Notamacropus eugenii: one gene and its partners. The protein of the gene in region 1 purifies or fractionates together with the protein of each later gene. This does not show direct contact. Links are inferred from orthologs where the notes say so. Each region holds a gene or a part of one and is shown in the gene's direction. Other genes may lie near its edges.

What was found.
Region 2: the proteins of MTA2 (region 1) and DNA (cytosine-5)-methyltransferase 1 purify together in Homo sapiens (affinity purification with western blotting; 3 studies listed by BioGRID and IntAct, with this or other methods). This does not show direct contact. The link is inferred for Notamacropus eugenii from reciprocal best matches to the Homo sapiens genes MTA2 and DNMT1.
Region 3: the proteins of MTA2 (region 1) and BCL11A purify together in Homo sapiens (affinity purification with mass spectrometry; 4 studies listed by BioGRID and IntAct, with this or other methods). This does not show direct contact. The link is inferred for Notamacropus eugenii from reciprocal best matches to the Homo sapiens genes MTA2 and BCL11A.

Annotation. Positions count from the first base shown.
Region 1 is NC_092873.1:15,725,355-15,732,870, reverse strand, and holds the start of MTA2 (metastasis-associated protein MTA2), read left to right. Parts: upstream 1-4,323; 5' UTR 4,324-4,431; coding exon 4,432-4,459; intron 4,460-5,403; coding exon 5,404-5,471; intron 5,472-6,102; coding exon 6,103-6,196; intron 6,197-7,516. Other genes in the region: EML3 (echinoderm microtubule-associated protein-like 3), read left to right, coding at 34-185, 309-434, 519-650, 889-956, 1,052-1,140, 1,457-1,554, 1,709-1,796, 2,386-2,484 and 2 more. UniProt on the Homo sapiens protein: May function as a transcriptional coregulator. Acts as a component of the histone deacetylase NuRD complex which participates in the remodeling of chromatin.
Region 2 is NC_092875.1:79,920,205-79,928,082, forward strand, and holds the start of DNA (cytosine-5)-methyltransferase 1, read left to right. Parts: upstream 1-4,760; 5' UTR 4,761-5,118; coding exon 5,119-5,198; intron 5,199-5,401; exon of another isoform or gene 5,402-5,485; intron 5,486-7,878. UniProt on the Homo sapiens protein: Methylates CpG residues. Preferentially methylates hemimethylated DNA. Associates with DNA replication sites in S phase maintaining the methylation pattern in the newly synthesized strand, that is essential for epigenetic inheritance.
Region 3 is NC_092872.1:644,360,241-644,368,516, forward strand, and holds the start of BCL11A (B-cell lymphoma/leukemia 11A), read left to right. Parts: upstream 1-5,158; 5' UTR 5,159-5,222; intron 5,223-5,249; exon of another isoform or gene 5,250-6,780; 5' UTR 6,781-6,897; coding exon 6,898-6,952; intron 6,953-7,909; exon of another isoform or gene 7,910-8,276. UniProt on the Homo sapiens protein: Transcription factor. Associated with the BAF SWI/SNF chromatin remodeling complex. Binds to the 5'-TGACCA-3' sequence motif in regulatory regions of target genes, including a distal promoter of the HBG1 hemoglobin subunit gamma-1 gene.

The DNA of each region.
Region 1 (7,516 bases):
CCCACCAATCTTGGCCCTCTCTCCTCTACACAGAGACGTTTGGGATCGTAGCTCAGACCCGAGCCCACGAGGGCTCCATCTTCGCTTTGTGTCTGTTGAGGGACGGGACTGTGCTGAGCGGGGGTGGGCGGGATCGACGGCTGGTTCAGTGGGGGCCTGGGCTCACTGCCCTCCAGGAGGCTGAGGTAAGACTGGGACTGGAGATGGGGGAAGGGAAGGAGAGAAACTGAGGTAGATGGGGCTGGGGAGCAGGAGGAAGGTTGTAGGGACTTCTTTCCTCCTGAGATATGGACATCCCCCACCTCCAGATCCCAGAACAGTTCGGAGCTGTCCGTGCCATTGCCGAAGGGCTGGGCTCAGAGCTGCTGGTAGGGACCACAAAGAATGCGCTGCTGAGGGGAGACCTGACTCAGGGCTTTTCCCCTGTTATCCAGGTTAGTGTTTGTGTGGGGCCAGAGGAGTGTGGGGCAGGGCAGTGAGGAGATCCTATAATGTCATCCAGCCCTTGTATCCCATAGGGCCACACTGATGAACTCTGGGGTCTCTGTACTCACCCCTCCCTGAACCGCTTCCTTACCTGTGGCCATGACCGGCAGCTCTGTCTGTGGGATGGGGAGTGTCACGCTCTGGCCTGGAGCCTTGATCTTAAGGTACTGTTGCCATGAACTTTATCTCCTGAGACCCCCTTCCCTGACCTCCCCCATAATCTTTAGGGAATCCAGTCATCTCTCCCAGGGCTAGCCCTTCCTTCCCTTTGAGAAGCATTGAGGGGAGATGGGCTTTGAGTTCATCAACAGGCGGGGTGATCTGGTGGGTTCCCCCCATGAGAAAAGTATCTCCTTGAATCCCAACCCCAGCCTTCCATCTCTGACCACCCTCCCCCTCCAGGAGACGGGTCTCTGTGCTGACTTCCACCCCAGTGGGAAAGTTGTGGCTGTGGGACTCAACACTGGGAGGTGAGAAGGGGAAGGGGGAGGAGGGATGGAAGAGGAGATGTTGGGGGTGGTGATGGGCCGTTAGCCACTGGCCTCATGGCCTTCTCTGACCCCAGGTGGCTGGTTCTGGACACAGAGACTCGAGAGATTGTGTCTGATTTCACTGATGGTAATGAGCAGCTCTCAGTTGTCAGGTATAGTCCAGGTGAGAGCCTCTCCCACCCCCTGCCCCCATCCAGAGGCTTCTCTCTCTGACCTGCCTTCTTCCCACCCCAACCCCCATCCTAGTTCCTTTCCTCTGACATTACCTTCCAATTATTCTATACCTCTTTTTGACATACATGATTGCTGGCCCCTTGTCTCCTCTATTCAAAGGTAAGCTCAAAAGCAGGTACTGTTTGGTTTTGGTTTTGTAGTTTTGCTTTTCATTACATCTCCTGCTTCTAGCACACTGCTTGGCCCATAGGTAAGCCCTTAAGAAATGCTTGTTGACTGACTGACTGACTGACTGACTCCTTCAGATGGGATTTACTTGGCCATTGGTTCCCACGACAACATGATCTATATCTATAGTGTGTCCAGTGATGGGTCCAAGTGCAGCCGGTTTGGCCGATGCACGGTGAGTGTGCCCTATGAGCAGAGTGGGATGTGGTGGGGTGCTGGTGGTGGTAGGGGCAGGCCAGCTCTTCACAGTTCTCCTAGAGAATGGCCTGGGACTGGAGTGGGAACTGAAGGCTCCATTTTGGACAGCCCTCTACCCTTCCTTCCCCCAGGGGCACTCCAGCTTCATCACCCACCTAGACTGGTCCAAGGATGGCAATTTCATCATGTCCAATTCTGGGGACTACGAGATCCTCTACTGTGAGGAGGGGTTCACAGGGGTGGGTCACTGGGGTCAAGTTTTCTCCCCCACTATGACTCAGAGCTAGGGTGGTGGTGATGGGGGACTGTGGAATTTGGGGGCAGAATCCTGGGTTTGAGTCCCAGCTCTGTTACTTACTCTCTGGGAACTCTGAGGATGTCACTTCCTTTCTTCAGCTTTCCATTTGCTCATCTATAAAGTGAGATTTGGGTCTGTCCCAGTTCTGACGTTCTAGGTTCTAAGTTCCCTCTAGGCTCCAATACTCTAGCTTTTAAGGTCCCTCTGAGTGCTTTAGTTATGTGCTCTTAGGTCCCTTCCTGTTTGACATTTGATATTTCTGTTTTCTAAAGCTCTTTCTGGCTCTAAATCCTATCATCTCATCAACCTAATCCATGGAAAATGTGCTAAGCAAAGGCATTTATAGAAAAATTTTCCAGGGGCATTGGGTGAGAGGGGTGACTTCCAGAACATGGATTTGCCAGGATCTGGAGCCCAAACCCCTCTGGACTGGCCTTATTTTCTTCAGTTAGCTGGGTTGATGGAAAGGGACTGACCTAAGTGGAGCTTCCCTCCTTCCCTTCCTCTCAGGGGACGTGGCAGGGGGTTGTAAGCTGCTGAGAAATCGGTATGAGAGCCGGGATCGCGAGTGGGCAACCTATACGTGTGTCTTGGGTTTCCATGTGTATGGTGAGCACCAAGCCTGGTGAAGGCAGCTGGGAATATTGTGAGGAGGGCAGTGTTACAACACTGAGAACCACTGCCCTTGGGTGGAGGGAAAGGTCAGAAGCATCGGGGCCGACAATGCCGCATTGTGGGTCCCGGAATGTCCGAGAACAATACCTGTGGGTGGCTGGGAATGTGGGAGCTTGGAAGGAGGAGGAAGCAGGAATGAGGAGGGCTTGACTTGGTAGGCGTGTGGCCGGACGGATCTGACGGGACTGACATCAACTCGTTGTGCCGGTCCCACAATGAGCGAGTGGTCGCAGTAGCGGATGACTTCTGCAAAGTGCATCTGTTTCTGTACCCGTGCGCCCGGGCCAAGGTGAGGGGTCTCTTCCACCTCACCCACTCAGAGGCCAGGGGAGGGGCTGGCGGGGAAGAAGGGTGCGAGAGCTGCTGAAGAGTGGGTGGGGGTGAGGAAGAGGGGTGTGAGTCGAAGCCAGAAGAGGCAGGGGACTCCAAGAGACACATCATTCCGGAGTAAAGAGACTAGGATTTAATTGCTGGCCCTGTGACCTTGGGCAAGTCGCTTCCTTTGAGACTCAGTTGCCTCATTTGTTAAATGGTGATATCTAAGTTCTAAGTCCTGCATAACTGGGCTAGATTCCACCTATTTCTTCCCATTCTGTCCCCACCCTCACCGCTAGGCCCCCAGCCGAAAGTACGGAGGTCATGGCAGCCACGTCACCAGTGTCCGGTTCACTCATGACGATTCTCACCTCATCTCACTGGGAGGAAAGGATGCGAGCATTTTCCAGTGGCGCATGCTGAGTGGTGGGGGCCCTGGACCAGCCCCCTTGACACCCTCCCGCACCCCTTCCCTCTCCCCCGCCTCCTCGCTGGATGCCTGACCCCACTAGGACTAGATGGAGTGGGTGGGGTTAGAGGGTGCTTTTCCCCCTACCTCCCATCGCCCCCATCCCCCTCCCAAGGACCAGGAGCCCCCTCTTCCAACTTCGTTGCATTCCGTGCCTTCTCCCGGTCGGGGAGGGGCGTTGGGACCCCCCAACACTGTACAGAACCGCAGGCTGAGCCGAGCAGCCCCCGCCCTCCTCCTCAACCCTGCACCCGAGCAGGGTCAATAAAACAGATGCCAAGTCCCTCTGCAGCGTCCCGTGTGTCCTTCTGCAGGGGAAAGGCGGGGAGGGGTGGTGGTGGCATGGGGTAGGGTTAGAGAGATCCCTGGTTTGGAAGTTAGAGAGCAGGGCTGGAGGACTTCCTCGGGGCTGCCTTAGTCTCCTACTCGGTACCAGCAGGGTGGTTGGACGCGGTGCTCCCTCCCTAAGGGCGATCCCCGCTCTCAGGGTCCAGGATTGACCAGAGTGGGGCAGTGGAGTGTGCTTGAGCTGGGGCTGGACCAAACCAGGAAAAGAAAAGACCAACGGGGCCCATGCAAATGAAAAGCAAAGGGTATGCAAAGGTCCGACTCTCCCTGCTGCGGCCGCGAGTCGGGCTGCAAGGCTGAGGCGAGGAAAGGGTTAAAGTCTAGGCCCCGCCCCTCCTTCCCGGCCCCACCCCTCCCGGCCGAGGAGGCGGAAATGCCCGAGCGCCAGAGGCCGTGGGCCGGAAAGAGCCGAAGCGCCTCCGGAAGTGGCCGAAGCGCGGGCGCCCGTCCTTCGGGCGCAGCCGGAAGGGTTCCGGAAGGGCTCGGCGCTGAGGCAGGGCTCTGTTTGGACGAACCGAACCGCGGACCCGGGACGCTGGGCCGGGGGGGGGGGGGGCCGGAAGCAGCCGAGCGGGCCCGGCGCCGGCCTCGGCGCGTCCTGGGCGGGAGGCGGCGGCGGCGGCGCGGGATGAGCCGGGGCTGAGGCGGCGGCGGCGGGGCCGGGACCGGGGCAGGGGCCGAGCAGGGCCGAGCAGCGCCGGGGTCTCCCTGCGGCCGAGCCGGGCGCCCGCGGGCCCCGTCGGGCGGCCATGGCGGCCAACATGTACCGGGTGGGGGGTGAGTACCGCGCGCCCCGGCTCCGCTGGAACCGGCACGAGCTTACCGGGACCGGCGGGGGGGAGGGCCGGGCGACTGGGGGGGGGGGGGGGCGGCACGAGAGGGGCGCATGCGCGCACGGGGAGCCTTGCCGGGGGTCCCGGTAAGAGAGGACGCATGCGCTGCCATCCCCCTACCCATGGGGGGTCCCAGGCGGGGGGGGGGGTGCGCAACGAGACTTAAGTGGGTGAACTTGACCGCCGAGGCCACAGCAGGGGGGCGGAGTGAGGCCCGGGGCGCTCTGGGCTGCTGGTCACCTAGTCCGGCTCAGTGCTCTGAGTGCCAGGGCAGATCTCAGACGCCCCACCTCTGGCACCATAGGGCCCTGGCTGGCTCCGGGATCCCCTATAGCGACAGCGCTGCCCGCGGGGCAGAACTCCTGCCCAGATCCGCCTCGGGCGATTGGGAGGCTCCTTGGCCCTCCGTCTGATGGGCGGGACCTGAGTTCGGATGTAAAGAGCTTCGGGTGTCCCAGGGCAGGAAAGCCCCCCCGACCCTTTCCACCTGAGCAGCCCCAGTCACTTTCCCTCCTCTGTGCTGGAGGTTCGATTTGAACCCGGGCTTTACCGGCTCGAACCCCTATCCTGAGTCCTCCTCCGGATCCAAAGGGACAGCGCCTGCCCTGCCTTAGAGCTAGCTAAGCCTGGCCCAGAATCCGTGGGCAGGGGTGGCTGGAGGCCACAGGCTGCCCATGTCCTGGTCAGCACTCCCGGGCTAAAGTGCTCGCTGGCTTCTGATGTTTGCCATTGGATAGCCAACGTCCAGAACCTAGTAAATGTGATGATGGGAGACCCCCAGAGGGTCTCCACCCTCCCTCTTTCTTTTTTCCTGTTGCATCCCTCCTCCCTCACTCAGGGCTTTGAGAGGCTTCCCCCTCTTGACCTCCTGGCTCTTCCCCACTGCAGATTACGTCTATTTTGAGAACTCCTCCAGCAATCCTTACCTGGTGAGAAGGATTGAGGAGCTCAATAAGGTGAGCTTGTGTGTGTGTGGGGGGAGGTCAGAAGGGGCTTGAATCCTCACCAGGAAGCACATCTGAGAATGTGAGCTGAAGGTTAATCTAGGCACACATGGCGCTTCTGTTCTTTGTGTGGGTGGTTGTCAACTCCACTTCCTCAGCATGGCCTCCATGGGGCAGTGGGCAGAAGTTAGGGAAAGGTAGGTTTCCACTCAATGTGAGGACAGACTTCCTAAGCAGAAGCTCCAGTTCTCAGATATCCAAGAATGAATGGGTAGCCTCAGGATTAACCAGTTTCTCCTTACTGGAGTCTACTGGTAAAGACTGGTCAATCACTTTTAGACAGTATTGGTGGTCTTCTGGGTGGTTAGAATGGAGTGCCTTGGGTCCTTTCTAGATGTGTGCTTCTCAAAGTGTCCTTGCTTGGGTTTATTTTGGCCCAGGCCTAGTTCGGAGCTCCTTAGGTGGGAGGGGACTTGGGAGGCTCTGAGACTGAGCTGCACTCTGTTGGGCACATAATTTCTTGAGGTCTTTTGTCGTTTTATCTGTGAGTGCTTAATATATATTCCCTGTTACTGGCCCCTTTTCCTTAGACATACCTACTTTCTCTAACATCCGGTTTTACCACTTTGCTCTTTCTTCCTAGACTGCAAATGGGAACGTGGAGGCCAAAGTTGTCTGCCTTTTCCGAAGACGGGACATCTCTAGCAGCCTCAATAGCCTGGCTGACAGCAATGCCAGTGAGTCTTTCTTCCCCCTCCTTCATGTCCTCAGGTCTGGGCAGGTCTCTGCAGGTGTTTCCTCTGGTTTCCTGACCAAGGCTGGGGGGGGGGGGATGAATTTTGGGATGGGGGAAGCAGGTCTACATGGAGGGGTTAGGGCTTGTTTTCACATGTCAGAAAAGTAGAATGGAGGAGGAACGTGATGAGGAGAGCCAGTGTTTTCAGGAGGAGAGGACAGTGGGAAATGGGAGGTTTTATGGAGGGTAGAAACAATGAATCTAATCATAGAGAAATCAGGACTTGTGGGTAAGTTTTGAATGAACTAGAGTTATAATGAGAAGGATTGTGTTAGGGTAAGTGAAGAGGAAGGAAGTCCCAAACACACCATGTGTCCTGCCTTAGGATAGGGGCTGTGGTTTGTTTAAATACTGAAGGAGTTGGTCTTCACAGGGTGGAGGCTTTGGGAAGAGGAAGAAACTCCTGAATTTCATTTCTTTTGCTTTTGTCTTCATCTTCCTTCTCTTTGTTTTCTTCTCTTCCTCCCTCTTTCCCTTTCCTAACTTCTCTCCCTCACTTCCTTTTTCCTCTTTCTCCCTTTCTTTTCCCAGTAATAATTCATCTCTATCATTCTTCCCCCCCTTTCCTTTTTGATTTCTTTCCATTGATATGTCTGTTTTCAACTTTTTAGACCAAGGTTCCAGCACTAAAGGGTTAATGGGGAACAAGGCTCTCCAAGTTTCACAGCCCCTTGGGGTTTACTGCCCCATCTGGCAGGGACTGACCTTGGCTTTGTCCAATCAGAAGGGGTTTGGGGGGTGTGGTCCCCTTGCCTTAGCCCTGGGTTTCCGCAGCACAGGCAAGGGGAGGAGTCAGCTGCCAACTCCTTCCCCACCCCCCCTTCTCCCTGGTAGTTGAAACAATGGCCTATGGGTCTGGGCTTCTTGCTATGTTGTTATCCTGCCCCTTTCTCCTTTGCTTGGCACCCATCCCTGTTAACACTTTACAGCTGGGCTTAGCCAGCTTGAGGCCTTTGGTAGGGGAGGGATAGTGTTAATGTTGGGGTGGGAGTTTTCTCTGAAAGATAAACACTAGGATTCAGATAAAGAACAAGTGACATTAGGTTCTGCAGGTCCTACTTTGTCAGGGGGTTGAGGGAGTGGGGGTAGGGGGGGAGGCCTGTGATGTTTGAGGACCTGCTTGGGGAGGCACAGCCTGGTATAACCTCACTGGGCTTTTAATCCTGTTGGCAGCCTGGCTAGGGTTGAGATCCCAGCATGAACTCTTGGGGCTTGGGATGAATTTCTGAGGTTTGGGGGGGGAGGGAGAGAGAAGGGTTAT
Region 2 (7,878 bases), on another chromosome or scaffold:
GACCAGTTTGGGAATAGGGGAGTATTCTTGACATCCCATATTAGGGGTGAAAAAGCTGGGGTTAGCTCTTGTGGGGGTTATATGCTACTCTCACTGTGGACCCCAAGCTCAGTCCCCGTTCCCTACTCCCAGCTTTCCTCCCTAGTTATCCATCCTTTACTAGCTCCCACAAGGTATCAAATCCCCTAGAACATGTGAGACCTTTAACCCTAGCAGAATGGCTATTGCCCAGTTCAAGTCAGATGAAATTGGAAGAATAAATGCCCTGAGGCTGCTCCCCCTCCCTACCCCCAACTCTGCAGAAGAAAACCTGGAATCCTGTGGATGAAAGGGAATCAAACGGTACGAGTGACCATGTATATTTATGCCTGTGAGAGTACGAGTGCTTCTGTGTGTGTATGTGTGTCTCCATCCCTCCACTCCCTTGTTTTTCCTCAGTGACTTGTAGTTCGAATATTCCACATTTTTGTTTCTCTGGTCTTTGTTGAAAACTCAAGGGGAGGGGGAAACAGTTCTCTCCTTCCCGTCTAATGCTTTTTGTGTTATGACAAGGAAGTCATTCCCATTGGGGGTGGGAGGGGGCAGGGATCTTGCTGGCTACCTATAGTCCACTAATCGGGCAAAAGGGTCCTTCCTAATAGGACTCTTGAGAGGAGACTTTTTGCCAAAGACAACTGCAATGAAGATAAAAAGAAGAGAGAGGAACAAACCCTGTATTATGTCTGCCTTCTTGGGAAATCCCTCATGCCTCTCCCTTCCCTCAGCCTCTGACCTTGGGCTGATTAAATGGTTCAGTTTGACTTCTCTCAGAGTTTCCACTTTGAGCCCTGTCTTCTGCTTGGGTACTGCTTCTAAAGGCGAAATAAGACTTTTATCCTTCAGGCTTTGAGGGGTAGGCCCCTCTACACACACATTCTTTCCTTGCTGGGGGAGGTGGGGGGGGTGGGGCTGTCTGAGCTGGAGAGGCCACTCCAACCCCAGCCTGCCTTTTTTCTCAGCCTCCCTAGGCTACCTGTTGACTTGTTGACTCTGCTGCCCTAGAAACCCTCCTCCTCTCTTGCTTCTGCCAGGTCCCTCCCCATACTCCAAAGACAGGATCTTGGTGCTTCTAAGAACAGAAGGTCAGTGACAGACCCCCCCACAGGCTTGTCCTTCACTCTGGATAGCCATCCCCCAAAGAAAACTGACTGTAATGATTTTATTGATCCCTACCACTTACTGCTATCCAGGGACTTTTCCATATGGCTTTGTCAGTAGGACAGGAGAGCTGAATGGACACTCGAGAAAGTCAGGAACACCATGTTCTCAGGAGGCTGGTTTGATACATATTGGGCCACTCCCTGAAGAGACAGATTTCCTCCCCACCTCCCCCCATTAGCAGGGCATTCCTCTAGGACAAAGCCTTTTGCCCTCTTCAGCCTCAATAGAGGATTCTGAGGAAACTGAAGCACAGGGCAGGACCACATCTTGCCAAGGACAGCTGAGAAGAACGCAGGTATCCAGGTCCCTAGCATCCTTTCCAGCCACCAATAAAGACCAGAATTTTGGGGGAAAAGAAGAGCAGTGGTTTTCTACCCATCTACCACCACCACCACTACTACCACTCCCACATCCCCTCAACCTCACAGGAAGGTAAAGGCTGCCAACTCCAGTCACAGAAAAGCTCCAGATGTATAGCTATAGTGAATGGTCTCTCCAGAACCTCTCCCCAGTCAAGCCTCCTTCTTGGGTCCTAGGAAAACTTCCTTGGTTCCTTCCATTTACACTGGGCATAGTGTGAGGCAGCTCCTAAGGGTGAACCATGGATTTCCTCTGAAAGAGTTCAGGACAGATGGGACAGGGGTTGGGATGAAGGTGGTGTGAGAAATGAGCCCATCTTACAAGCCCCGAACTGTGAGAAACATGCTTTCCTTAAAAAAGGAACAATGCCTGTTGTGAAGCCAGGAAAGCCTTTATTAATCTTTACTTCCATCCATTCCCCCTGAATGGACAGGTAGCCTCCCCAGTAAGGTTACAGGATGACTATAACACGTTCAGGAAAATGGAACTTCTTATACTGTTTTCCGAACTTTGGATCTCCCTCGACACTGTCCCCTGGTCATGTGACTTTATGTTCTCTGTGATGGGCTTTCCTTCAAACAGCTCATCAAGCCTGTGAGGTTTCTGACCTTTACCTGACCATCCTAGGTCATGACTGTGGAAACAGAACTTCCTTGTTTCCCACAGTGGTAAGAAGAATAATTAATTCTTCAGGTCATAAAGCCTTAGTTCTCTATTAACACTCAGCAACATACAACCAAAGACACAAGGAATGCTCTTAGGAATATGTGGAAAGAGACAAACCCAAAGACAAACCCACATACTTATTTCCAAGTATACCTATATATAGGCACAGAAAAAAAGGAGACACAGTGTACTGCATGCACAAGGTACATTTAGAAAAAGAAAACCAATACATGTAGACACAAAAAGAGCTGAATTTCAGAAAGACCCTCACAGTTCTCTCTTGACCCAGCTGCACACTCTTTCTAGACTAAACCTTCCCAGGGCCTCCCACCCCCTTAAGGTCAGGAAGAAGGGGAGCTCGGAGACAACTTTGTTTAGAAACTTGAGCTGTTGGCCAGAGGCACTGGGTAGCAGCTCCTCCAGTGGACACAATCCCACATGGCATTTGGGTGGGGCTACAAGTGTGGGGGGGAGTTTTGAAGAGATGCTTGGTTATGGAACTTGGAAACTCACATTTTAAAAGGAGCCATTGAGTTCTGTAGTTCCCCTCTTTTTTTGTGCCTCAATTTCCCCCTCTGTAGAATGGCAGCAACATTGCCCCCAGCTCCCAGTGATGGAAAGGACTTTTGGGTCAGTTTTCTTTAACCCAGAATGGCCCCACAGAGATGGAATGTCCAATTTTCTGGAGGAAGGAGTGGTTCCCATAAGCCCAACCCCGAAAAAAGTGGGGAACTGAGCCTGGATACAAAATGTTCTGGAGAAAGTCTGGTTCCACACCCCATGTCATAGTTTGGGGATAGGTCAGGAAACCTGATCCTATCCCCCACCCCTCCATACACACACCTCTCAAGCCTTTTCTGGGCCCCAGACAAGACTAGAATACCCAGTTCAGCAGGTAAGAGGGGGTATTCCACCTGTTTTTTTCTGCTACATTTCAGTGAGGGCATCAGTTTGTGCAAAATTCATCTCTACAGGTCTTTTGAGTCAGAGATATGGGAACAGGATCGGGCAAATCCCAGGAGCAGACACCCTGCAGGCTGATGTGGTTCTGTTGGGCTGAGAAGGGGTGGTGCTGTCAGTTCTGGGCCCCTGCACTTGTTTACATTTACTCTCCTCTACCTTTGGGAGAGGGAGCTCAGTAAAGCTGTCAGTCCATGTGGGTGACTAAACCTACTGCACTGTTGGTGACTCAGCTCCACTGGTCTCCTGGCTGACTGACCACTATGTCACTGGCAATGTACATTTCCCACTGAGTCTGACCTTGGTTTGGCTGAAACTCAGATTCTTGATCCACTTCTGAACTCTGCCTCTACCCTTGGGAACACAGCAGGCGGTTGTAATTGGGAACAGGAAGCATTGTTCAAACTCTCAGGCTAGTTGAAGCCTTTTCTAGTTCTGCACATCTTTTCCACCCAGGCTAGGCAGGGACCTTTCCAAAGTTTACTCATTAACAGCCTAGAATGCCAGACCATTGGATAATTTCCTTTCCCTTAGTGACCAAGAAGGGATCAATTATGGGATGGGTGGCTTCAGATTCAAGCCCAGAGCTTTTTAAAGAATCTCTGAAAATGGAGAACACTAATATTTTGAGTCTAATAATAACAACCTGGGGACCCAGGTCCATCCTGCGTTTTGGGGGGTGTTTTAGCTTGTCAACAGACTTTCTTATAGGCCAGGTATCTTTCTCAATTACCACTTTCTTCTGAGTCATTTCAAGATTCCTTAGCCACAGGTTTACTAGAATGGGGGCCAGTTAATCAGCGACAATAAGATTTTGGAGTCTGCTGACTCCTAGGGATCCAGCATTATCACATGGATAATAGGAACTAATGAATTGCATTGACTGACTAATACCGACCCAGCCTAACAACACAAGTTGATTGACCTCGTTGCCTCAGTTGTCTCCTTTGTAAAATAAGGGGGTTGGATGAGATGATCTGGAAGGTCTCTTCTAGCTCTGAATCCTACAATCCTACCATGGGGACATTGACTGAATAAGACAGAGTTATTGATACTGAACAGACAGATGCTGACAGATAAGACAGACTGACTGACACAGATCACCACGCAGTATTGGACGCTGACGGGGAGTGACCATCACACAGGTGAGTGTCCGGACAGACGGTCTGACTGAGGGCAGGAGTGAACAAGACTGAATGAATGGCTGCCCATAGGCAGGGGCTGCCCAAACAGGTAGGGGCTGAGCGGCCAGCCCCGCAGCAGCCCGGGCTAGCGAGACAAGGGACGGCCGGGATGGAGGCAGTAGATGACCAGCAGGCAGAGGCTAAGCAGACAGGCTGCGGCGGACGAGTTTCAGCTCCCACCCGGAGGGAGATCTGGGTCCCCAGGACTCATCCTCCTCTGCAGGGCTCAGGATCTAATGGCTGCCTTTCCCCTCTTCTTCATCCTAGGCTCGGAGCTCCCGAGAGGCACGTTGGGCCAGTCCATTTCTTCTCCCCCTCTCTCTTCGCCGCCGATGGTACAGGCCGCTCCTCTCTCCCCTCGGGCACCACGGGATGACGCCCACCGACCTCCTCCTTCCCCCTCCCCCTGCAGCACCGCGTGAGGCGGGGAGCCGAAGGGACTGCCCCGGAGGGGAGGGGAGTCGGAGCGGGGGGCGGGGGCCTCCATTTCCAATTGCCTCCCCCCGCCGGGACTTACATTTGGTACCGTCCTTCCCGGAATGGTCGCTTCGGCTCCCGCACCCCGTCGCCGGCCAGCCACCCCCTTCCCAGTTGGTATATCCCTCTCCTCTCCCCCTTCCCCCTCCCCTCTCGGCGGTTCTGGTTTCCGCGCGAAAAGCCGGCGGTCCGCGCGCTAGCCCCTGCGCGACCGGAGCCGGCTCCCTTCCGTCCCCCGGCCCGCTCCCTGCTCCCCACTCGGACCCGCGAGATGCCCGCCCGCACCGGTCCGGCCCCGGTGGCCGCGCCGGGCTCGCCCGGGCTCCCGCTGCCGGAGGAGGTCCGCAGACGGTAAGTGCCGCTCGCCCCCGGACTGCCGGGGCTCGGGCCGCGCTGGGCCTGGCTGGGCCGGTGTAGCGTCGCGCGGGCCGCCTGACAGGCCGGGCCGGAGGCGGGTCGGGCTCCAAGTCGGGGCGCGGGGCTCGCGCGCCCCGGCGGTTGGCCGTTGGCGGGGCTCGCGGCCGCGGGTCCCCTCCGGGGGCGTCGGTCCGCGAGGGCCCCGTCCGGCGTAGCTGCCGCTGCCGCCCTCCCCGCTCCCCGGGACATTTGGCGCCAAAACGCCGTGTCGGGTCGCGGAGGTGCGTGAGGAGGGAGAGGGGCGGCCCGGACCTGGGGCCGCTCCGACCTGCCCGTGGCCTTGGCCCCCGGGCTGGGCTGTCAGCTGGAGCCCGGTTAGGCTGCGGGCGTTGGGGGGCGCCCGTGAAGGCGGAGGCGCCGGGGTCCGGCGGTGCCAGTGACAGGAAGTGGGGGGCCCGGCCTGGGGGGCCCCCATCGCCTGCTCGTGCCCCGGCGGGGGCCGGGAATGGTCGTCTGGGACGTGGGGCTGCAGCCGGGAGGCCGCATTTGACCCACGCGAGAGCCGGGGCGCAGGCCTCCCCAGCCCCCATGGGGCCTTCCCCCTCCATCCTCTGGGTCGGGGTGGGCTTGCCCCGGCCTCCCTTCCTGAGGCATTCATTCTTGGGGCACGAGGTGGAGACGGGAGAACTGCCCCAGGCATGGGTTTCCCCTACCGCAGGATCAGTACCCGGCTGGTATTTCTCCTCGGTTTGTCCCTGGTGCCTGTGAAGACACGTGAAATGCCCCCTGGAGCCGTCTTTAGTCTCTTTCATGAAATTAATAGCAGAATCACTCATTTAGAAGGATTATTTTATCGTGTTTCCCTGCAGATTGACTGGTAGCGTTTGATTGTGTCTGTTGTGGGTAATTATGATAGCTAATACAAGGTTTCTGGGAAGGACCCTTCTCGCGGATCTAGTCGTTGGTTTGCTTTCTTTCTTTCCAGTGCCATTACAACTAATTAATTAGTTACAATTGTCTTTATTGTGGAAGGATAACCCGTGATTATTTTGTTTGTTACTGTAATTTATGGTTTTATTTTTTTCTTGGAAGGTGATTATGAACATGTGCAGGTAACTAAAGTGATTAGCACAGAGGTCAACTGCCTCGTCTACGTTGGCAGGAATTTTTCTGCGGACCCCGAGTGTCATCTCATTTTTAAAAAGTGTATTCTTATTGGGTGGCTTTGAGATTTTTGCCACCATGTTTAGTGGTTAGAGCCAAGAACTTCAAGTTTATCCTGGCTCTCCAGTGATTCACCAGGTGACCTTCGGCAACAAACTAAATCTCCCCCTCACTTGTCCCCATTTCAGGGAGGAGAAAATACTTACTTACATCGCAAGAGTTGCTATGATTAGTAAGGTCTTGGTATCATACATCTTCAAAGTGTAATATTAGGTATCTGATTACTTGATGTTATTTTAAATATTGTTTTAAGAGGGAGACACAGCTCCTAGCACCAAAAAGAAAAACCTATTTAATTATGCTTTGATGTTATTTTCATCAAGGCACTGAAGAAATGAATGAGTTTTAAATCTTAGTTGATGAGTTTAGAGTGCTGTGTTTGAGAGAGATGGTATAGAAACATTTTACACATTGTGCTTAGAGACCTTAAAGCAAATTCTTTCTGATTTCTTGGTATCCTCCCTAGGTTCTCAACTTAAACAATTCAAAGTGAGAGTTCTTTACAATTTGTCTTAAAACTTGAGGATCACTTTGTATCATAGTATGCAAAGTACAATAATGAGAATAGGTAAGATTTTGCTTAGTTTTGTTAATATTTGGATTAGGGGTTGGAAGACCTGCTCTGGTTCTGTATCTGTTACTTTTCTAGGTAACTTTGGGCAAGTCACTTTGAATCATATATTTAGAATGGATCTTGAAAGTCTTCTAGGCTTACCTCCTGTCTGATTAATGACTTCCCCCTCTCTTTCATCCCCATCTCTGCTAAGTTCAAGTTCTGGGTTGAATACCTCCATTTGATATTTTGATAGGGAATTTACTATCTTCTGACCTTGCTTTGTTAGAAAATTCTTACATATATTCATTCAGTTGTAAGTTGCTCAGTTACTCTTTTCAGATGCCACACTGAATTAGTAGAACATGGTTTAGTGAGAAAAGAGAAAACACTTTTCATTTCAGGATTACTTTTAGAATATCAGAGATGCAGAGTTAGAAGGGACATTCATTGATCATTGGTCTTAACACTACCAAGAGTGAGCTGGTCAGGTTTTCAGTATCCCTGAGAAGTGATTGTCCTGTTTCTGCCTAAGAACTTCGAGTATTGAAATGAGACTGAGGATAGCTCCAGAGTTCGCATTTATTTGGTGCTTTTTAGGTTAGAATGTGCTATCCTCAGAGAAACCCTGTAAAATACATAGGATATATACTAATCTTAGAATGAAAAGGGGCCTCCATAGCCAATGTCAGAATCAGGACTGGGATCATAGGCCTTCTCTGATTCCACTACAATGTCCTTCCCTCTTCCAATTGGTTTTTAAATAGCTTTTCATTTGCATTCTTTTATTATTGTAATTATTTGACTTATCATTATCCATAGTCTCCCCTCCCCTTAGACCTGGGATCTTTATAACTATCCATATAAAACCCAAATGTAGTCCAATATTCTGTGGAG
Region 3 (8,276 bases), on another chromosome or scaffold:
GGACCTGAAAATTATTTAGTCTTTGGTGTTAGTATCTTCAAAGTTATTCAGAAAAGCAGATTTGCACAGAGATGCAAAGCAATTTTAAAAAAATGAATTCACATTCTTGACCCTAGCTTATTGGGATACTACTGTATCATGTGGCATTCTGGAAGTTGACAGAAACAGCTTGCTTGACATCGTAATTGTTCAGCTTTAGCCATAGATGGGACAGGTGTGTCCAAGCTCATTACTCTTAGATTTAAAGGTACATTCATTCACATTTACAGACTAAAGTTTGCTTGAGCAAAGTACTGATGATTTCTGGGGAAAATAATGTAACTTGTATAGGTTAGGGTGTCACTGAGGTTGTGATGTACTGTACAAAAGTTATGAGAGTGTGTGTTCAATTATCTAGTGGAGCAAGAAAGCAGATGGATTGGCATTTTTTCTATTGACATTGCTTCCTATATAAAATTTCGGTAGCTTAGTTAGGTTCAGTATTTAAGAATAAATGCTAATCTCTAAATGATAATGATCCTTTATATGTGAATAACACTTTACTGTTTTTAGAGGGCTTTCCAGTGTGTCCTTTAATTAGAACAAAGCAAGGTAGGTATTTCCATTAGTATTTCATTTTACTGAGAAAGTAAGGTGACTTGGCCACAGTCACACAGAAGTAACAAATGCATAAAAAACCAAACCAAACCAAATCAACACACAAACAAAAAAAAGCAAAACTCATGTTCCTAGAGTCCTGACAAGAGAATTGGGAACCCAATGCAAATAAAAACAAAAATGTATTAGAAACTGATTATGTTGCTGGTGTACTGAGGTGTACTGAAGTTATATGGACAAGATTGTGTTTTCTTATACATCTCCTATACCTTCTCCCCGCACCCCCAACATGAATTAGGGGACAGTTTGAGGACACGATTCAAGCTCAGTCAGTCTTTCCCTCTGCTATTTAACATTTCCACTCATTTTTGTGATCTGCACAGTCCTTTAAAGACCTAGGAAAAGCTAGGGAGAGAGGATCTGATGTTAAGTTGTAACAAGAAAGTCTTCTCGAGGTCTGGTTTGCTCAGTTTAAGTTCATATGCAGCCTACCTTCTGTAAACCCCTCTCAGTGTCCTAAATAATGACAATTAGAACTGCAGGCTCCTAGGCACAATCTGGGGGAGAAGGTAACAAAGTACATAGTTGAACAAGGGTAGATCTTGAGAAAAGTAGCAAGGGAGAGCTGCCGCACTCTGTGGTTTTCCTTTGTCACATTTCAATTCCTTTCAAGAAGACGGTGTTCTTTCTACCTTGTCCCAGCCCCTATCCATTTAGCCCCCCCACTTAAATTTCATTTGCCCTTATATTAATAACTCCACCCCTTCTCTTCTCTATCCTCCCAAAACCCTATACACAAACTCTTCCAGTAACCCCCAAAAGTGTTCCCAAGGTAGAATAAAGAGGCATCTTTTAAAAGATCATTGCAAGTCCTGTTATCTCTCAGATATTGGAGGTGAAGAATGGGGGAGGGGAGAGAGGCAGGGACTGATTGTTTCAAAGTATGTATTTATTTTTTAGTCAATAAAAGTCCCCCCACCCCACCCCACTAAAGTCAGGCAATGAATATTTTATTTTAGCCTTGTAATTTCCATCGAGACAGATCTTTTAACTCTTTCGCCTCCAGCTGAGCTCAAGTCCCCAGCGCCAGGCAATCCTCCCCACTAGGACCAGGGAACTGTATTAAGCTCACTTTCAGGAGCTGTTTGTTGACCACATTCACGTTCTGAGCCCTGAAGCTAAAAGCACTTTACACCATAAAATAAAAGCACTGTCTTTTTTTCTAAAAGGTTACGTCTGGAGGCCACGATGCTCATACTTCATACAGAAAACTACTGAAAGGACTATGAAATCCTCTATGATTTACGCTCTCCCACTGCATTAGGGTATAGATCTACTCAGCTCTAAAAATACGATGGAGTTTCTAACCGACGTGAATATATGTGCATTATTTCAGAAAGTCTGTTAGAAAACTTGTCAACACATTATAAAGCATAAACCAGAACTTGGCTATTAAATACGGAGATCAGAGGCAGAATATATACTGCAGGAAGTCCTGGGAAAAGTCTCCCCCATTGGGGGGGGGGGGGGGAGGGAAGGAGCTATTAGCAAAGAGTTTATACACAGTATACACCAAAGGTTTAGAAAGAGCCCACGGACCATAATTACAACATAAATGGAATCAGCAAAGGCTTTACAACCCTAAACGTAGTTAACTGGACTGCCAGAAAATAATTTTAATATTGTCATAATTTATTACTCTCCAAAAGCCACTTCAAGAACGGTAAATATACTCATTGTATATCCAAGTGTGCTCGTTAAGCTTCTCTTTCAACCCCCCCTCCACAAAACACCTGCATCATTCATCTAGGCTTACATTAAAAAAAAACAAACTCTTAAAAGACCTTTTTAAAAAAGCCCCCCCCCCAAATTCCCCCCCCCAGCCCCACCCTTGGAAGGTTAAGTGAACTTCAGGTGAAGTGGGGGAGGAGGCAGCGGGGATGGTAAAGAAGAAGGCAGTACTCGTGGAGTATGGATCAGATGCCAATACAGTCATGTTAATAATCCAGACGGCATGAAATATGGCTTTAAGGGGAGGGAGGGGAGAGTTTCCATTTAATTCCGGGCATTTTATGATGGTAAAATTAAATATATGTTAATGGTGGAAACGTTACTGGTTCCCTCTCCACTGACACACACGAAAAGCAGCTGCAAAAAATTGGCTTTTTAATGTATGTTTTAAGATGTGGTTTAGGAAGTAACCCCCTGGAATCTCAAACAAGTGCAGTAATAAAGCAGACCTACTTGTAACTAAGTGCTTAATTTCCTATGATTTTTTTTAAAGAAAATCAATAAAATGTTGCCAGTTATTTATTGGAAATAACCACAGATAGATGCCCTGATATGTGCTGGCTTTAGAGAGCGCACAATTGTGTAATGAATTGTAATTCAGAAGACTGTTAAATGTGAACCACAGAACCTTTCAGAGGTAATAAAGTCATTACTTTTTACACTACATCCAGCCCTGAAAAGCTTTATATACGCCATTATAGATAAATCATATATATATATATTTTCACGACACACAGACATCTACTTATCTGCCTCCTGTATATATGGACTTTTATGGATAGATGGTACAATAATCAAATATGAAAATCCTGGGTTCTAAAAGAATGAGACAGTTTGCTTTTGTTACCTAAAATGCCTTTTATTGTGTTTAGTGCATTTTTTGAAAAGGAACACTCCGTTGCACTCCACTCCCCCAACCTTCTTTTCCCCCAATGCATTCCCCCTTTTCCGCCACCCCTCACTCAAGCAATGACATTCATTTGGTAGCTCAAAGGCTGTTTTTATAAAGAACAAGACAAAAATAGATAGTAGTGTAAGATAGATGCTGACCTGCTCTGAAGAGCCCATGAAAAAGAGGAAAATCATGTCAGGTACGTGCTACAGAGCTTTACTGCAAATGATTCCTTCCTGATTCTTAACAGGATTTGAGGGTTTTTTCTCTCTCAGAGAACAGGAAAATACACACGCACACACACATACACACACGTGCACGCACAACAAACCGCACACAGACAATCCCCCCACTCCTTCCTTTCCACAACTCTCCTATTCCTGAACATCAAAAACCTTTTCTTCTCTCAGAGGCTGCACGAAGCCTCCTTGGAATGAGAAGCCAGTCATTTTGAATCGGTTTAAAACTTTAGGAAGATGACAACCCGTTTAAACAGCAGCATGCAAGCCTACAAGACTGAAAGGTACAGATGCGCGCGCGTGCGTGCACAGTGTGTGTGTCTGTGTCTGTGTCTGTGTGTGCGTGTGTGTGCGCGCGCGCGCGGGCGAGCAGCTCAGCCAGGGGGTGGTTGAAGCTGGAGAAGCACCAGATTTAGGTAAGGTTTCCAAAAAAAGTCCACCAAGCATTTCACTTTACAGGGCCCATCTGCCCCCGCCCCCCCGGATTGGGAATATAATGGCTAGAAGAAAATAGGGGCTGTGCTGTGAGCCTTGAGGGAAGGAGAGGAAACAGCTCCTCATTCATTCAGGGGGCACACCTCCCTCCCCTTCCAGCTTTCCCTTCAGTCGGCTCCCCCCTTCTCCTAAACTCCTCACTCAAGTCTGGTCCTAGGTCTCACCGTGGCTTCACTCCATTCCTTCCTCTTCTGTTCCCCCTCCCACTTCCCATTTTTTGGGGGGTGGGGGGAGGAACAGAAGAAAGTCTGGCGGCTGGGTGCCACAGCTAGGGAGAGCAGAGGTGAGACGACTTTGCAGGCACGTTTCAGAATAAACTTTCCAATCGTAGGGGGTGCTGTTGCTGTACATTTTACGTAAAACTGAAAGTATCCCACGCCAGAGAGAAGCACGCTTTTTGACAGCGGTGGCGGCGGCAGCAGCAGCCTATGAGTGTGTGTGTGTGTGTGTGTGTGTGTGTGTTTGTGTGTGCGTATGTGTGTGCGAGCTCGCGGTCACGAGCATTAAAGAGACAGGGGTTCATTTCCAACAAGTCTCTCCTAATTTCTAAGTTTCATCAAGGGAAAAAAAAATTAAAAAGGAGAAAGGAAAGCTATCTGAGCCGTGTGCTTTCGGGGTGCGGTGGGGGGAGGGAGGAATGCATGCTTGTGGGAAGGGGGCTAAGTTCCAGCAAGGTTGGCAACCACTTTTCTTTTCTTCCCTGCTGCTTTTGTGAGCAAACTGTGAGATTCCTATTACCCGTTTTCTTCCCCTTTCTCTTTTCCTCTCCCTGGGTAATGTCATTAATACAGCTTTGCGTGTTAAAATATTTCTTAGAGTCACGGTGTAGCTTCTCTTTTCTCCAGCTACATTCATTCATTCATTGATTCATTCATTCTCCGAGTGTTTCTCCCTCCTTCCTTCCTCTCCCCCACTCCCAGTTTTTGAGTGAGGAAGACGTCCTTTTCTTCTCTCCCAGTCCATCCCAACAACAGATCGGTTTCCCCTCTGCTTCTAGTTTGTCTCGATGGGTTATCCTTCATTTAAAAAAAAATAAAGGCAATCTTTTTGGGGGAGTAGTTGGCACCCACACGCACACACATACAAAGCCCCCCCCCCTTCCCCCGCTTCTTTCCTCCTTCCCCCCACCCCCCACCCCCCCAGCTGGTACCTTACAACCTTGCAACTCGCGGGCTGCTCTCTTGGCCATGGGTGCTCAGTATTAAAGGGTAAGTTTCGGCGCGGCCGAAGCTAGTGCCGTTACCGCTGCATCTCCCGCCTCCAAGCTGCTTATCGCTCCTTCCTGAACGATTTTGCTCTCCTGGACTCTTCCCCACTCTTGTCAGTAACGGCGCTGAGTCTCAGAGTTGTGTTCCTGTCTTTATTTATTTATTTACCCTTCTCTCTCTCTTCCTTTCCGGGCCGCAGCACCTCGCTTTCCTCAGATCCGTGCTTTGCAGTTTCATTGACATTGTCCCTTCTCTTGGCACTCAGGCTTCCTTAGCCACCTATTCTGCCTGCCTTTGGGGTGCAGGGGGATGGGGGTAAGTAGGGAGATGCCGAGTTGGAGCTTGGGCTCCCCCTTTCCCCCCATCTCCCTCTCTGGTCGCTCCCCCAAACCTCTAGGATCTCCTAGTCCTTCCTCTCTCCTTTACACGCAGAATTTCTCCTTTCCTCTCTCCCCAACCTGGGAGCCCGAGGCTCCTGAGAGCCTCTGCCTTTCTGGCTGCTACGGTACACAAACTTCTTTTGCAATTAATTCTTTACCACTCTCCGCAACACCCCCTCCCCAACCTCGGGGCTTTTCTCCTTGGGTAGTAACTTCAGAGTTCAGTTATAAACTTCTGGTTTTTCTTTTCGTGCTGTTTTTTTTTGGGGGGGGGAGAAAAAAGTTTCAGAAGTGCAGATTGATATCGGCTTTCACTTCTGCTCCAGGATGCATGCACGCGGGGCTGTGTGTGAGGCTAGCTGGGGAGGGGGGACGTGGGTGTGTGTAAGGAGGGGGGGTGTCCTACAGCAACTCTACCTGGTCGGCGGCCCCCCCGCCCCCGCCTTCTTTTGCTCCTCTGTCGTTTGTCTTCATCCCTTTCTACGTACACCTTTGGCGTATTATTTAAGCACTTCTGTCTCCTGTTTTAACCTTTCTTTTTAGAGGGTGGAGGAGAGAGGGGAGGACTTTCCCCTCCCCCCCAAACACACACCTCTCCCTTCCCCCTCCCCCTTTCTTTTCTTTCCTCCTGGCCATGCCGTCTCCTCCTGTACTCGGCTGCGGCCACTTGTGAGCTCCATGCCCCCGCGCCTCCCCTGCCCCCCTCTCAGCACTACCTCCTCCCTTCCCACCCCCCCATTAGGCAGCTTGTGTCTGGCGTCTGGAGAGCCCCCCCCTCCACCTCCCCCTCCCAGCACTGTCCATTGGCTTGTCCTGGTCTCTTTTTCATGTCCAGCCCCTGATGTGTGTCCATTGGTGTTAGCCTCCCCTTCCCTCCTCCCCTTCTCTCCTGCTCGCCCTGCCCATGTTTTGTATGTCTCTGTCCATCCAGGCTCCTGACGTTCAAGTTCGCAGGGACGTCACGTCCGCACTTGAACTTGCAGCTCAGGGGGGCTTTTGCCATTTTTTTCATCTCTCTCTCTCTCTCCCTCTCTCTCTCCCTCTCTCTCTCCCTCTATCTCTCCTCTCTCTCTCTCTCTTTTTTTTTTGCCCAAAAAAAAAGCCATGACGGCTCTCCCACAATTCATCTTCCCTGCGCCATCTTTGTATTATTTCTAATTTATTTTGGATGTCAAAAGGCACTGATGAAGATATTTTCTCTGGAGTCTCCTTCTTTCTAACCCGGCTCTCCCGATGTGAACCGAGCTGTAGTTCACCAGCCGCCGCCGCCGCCGCCTCCTACTCCACAACCCACCATGTCTCGCCGCAAGCAAGGCAAGCCCCAGCACTTAAGCAAACGGGAATTCTCGCGTAAGTAACCCAATAATAATAAATAATAATAATGATGATGATGATGATAATGAGGATGATGATGATAGGGTCGGGAGTGCCAAAGAGAAGATGGGAAAGAAAGGGTGCGTGTGCATGCGTTTCATTTTATTTTTGAGAAGGGGAGAAAAGACAACATTTAAGTGAGGTGTAAAGAAATTAAAAGGGGGAAACCCACAGCACCTCAAACCGCAACCGTGCTTGCACTTTTGGAGAAGCGTGCACCTCTCTTTTCGTTATTTTCCTTCCCTCCTCTCTCTTTTCGCCTTCTTTTTCTTTATTCCTCTTTGCGAAAAGAAACACTAGGATTTCTCCTCCCTCCCCCCTTTTGCAAAATAATTAATGATAATAATGAGAGTAACTCCCAGACAACCCCGGGGAACAGGAGAAGGGGAGAGGGATTTCTTTCTCCAACCGCCGGAAAGAAAAAAAAAGTCAAAGGCTTAAAAAAAATCCTGGGAAGAAAGAGGTGAGACTGGACATCGGACGCCGGCTCCCATGGTCAAGTGTGGACCAGAGAGAAAGTAATCACAATAATGCTAATGAATGGAAAAGTGGGACTTTTAGGGAGGGGGGACGTCCCCCCTCCCCTCCTCCCCAGAAGCCTTGTTGAGAAAAAGAAAGAGGTGGAGGAGAGAGGGGGTGAGAGGGAGACGAAGGGTTTGCGTTTGCAACGTGCGGGTAAAAGTGGCCGGTCGTTGCCTCCTTTTGTTTCCGCTCCGAGGTGGGTGTCTGTCCCGCTGTCTTTTGTGCCTCGCTCCCTCCCTCCTTCTATTCCTCCCTCCTCCTCCTCCTCCTCCTCCTCGTCCTCCTCGTCGTCGCCGTCCTCCTCCTCCTCAGCCGCCGCCGCTGCCGCTAAAGGGCAGCAGGGGCAAGGGGGTGGGGGTGGGCTGGGGGAAGGGAGGGTGGGGGAGATGTGGCTGCTGCCTGGACTCGGTTGGCTTGGGTTGCTGCCGCTGCCGCTGCCTCTGCCGCCTCTGCAGCCGCAGCTCGTGCTGGCTTAGCTCTTTGCTGGCTTTCTTTCTCCAGGGCCAAGGAACGTGCCCCTTCCCCTTCCCCGCCCCCTCCGCTCCTCGCCCCGCAAAAGACACAAAACGAGCTTGGCAAAATGCAAGACGATTTTTATTTTTCCTGTCCCCAAACAGAGAAGCTAAAAACCTCAGTAGATCTACTCTGAACCGAGATTTTCCAGCGTTGCCGTCCGCTCTCCCTCTCCCCCCTCCAAAAAAGAGGAGAAAATTCGCACGCACTGAGCACAAGGGGAAAAAAAATCAAACTAAAAACCGGATCAGACCACAACCCCCCA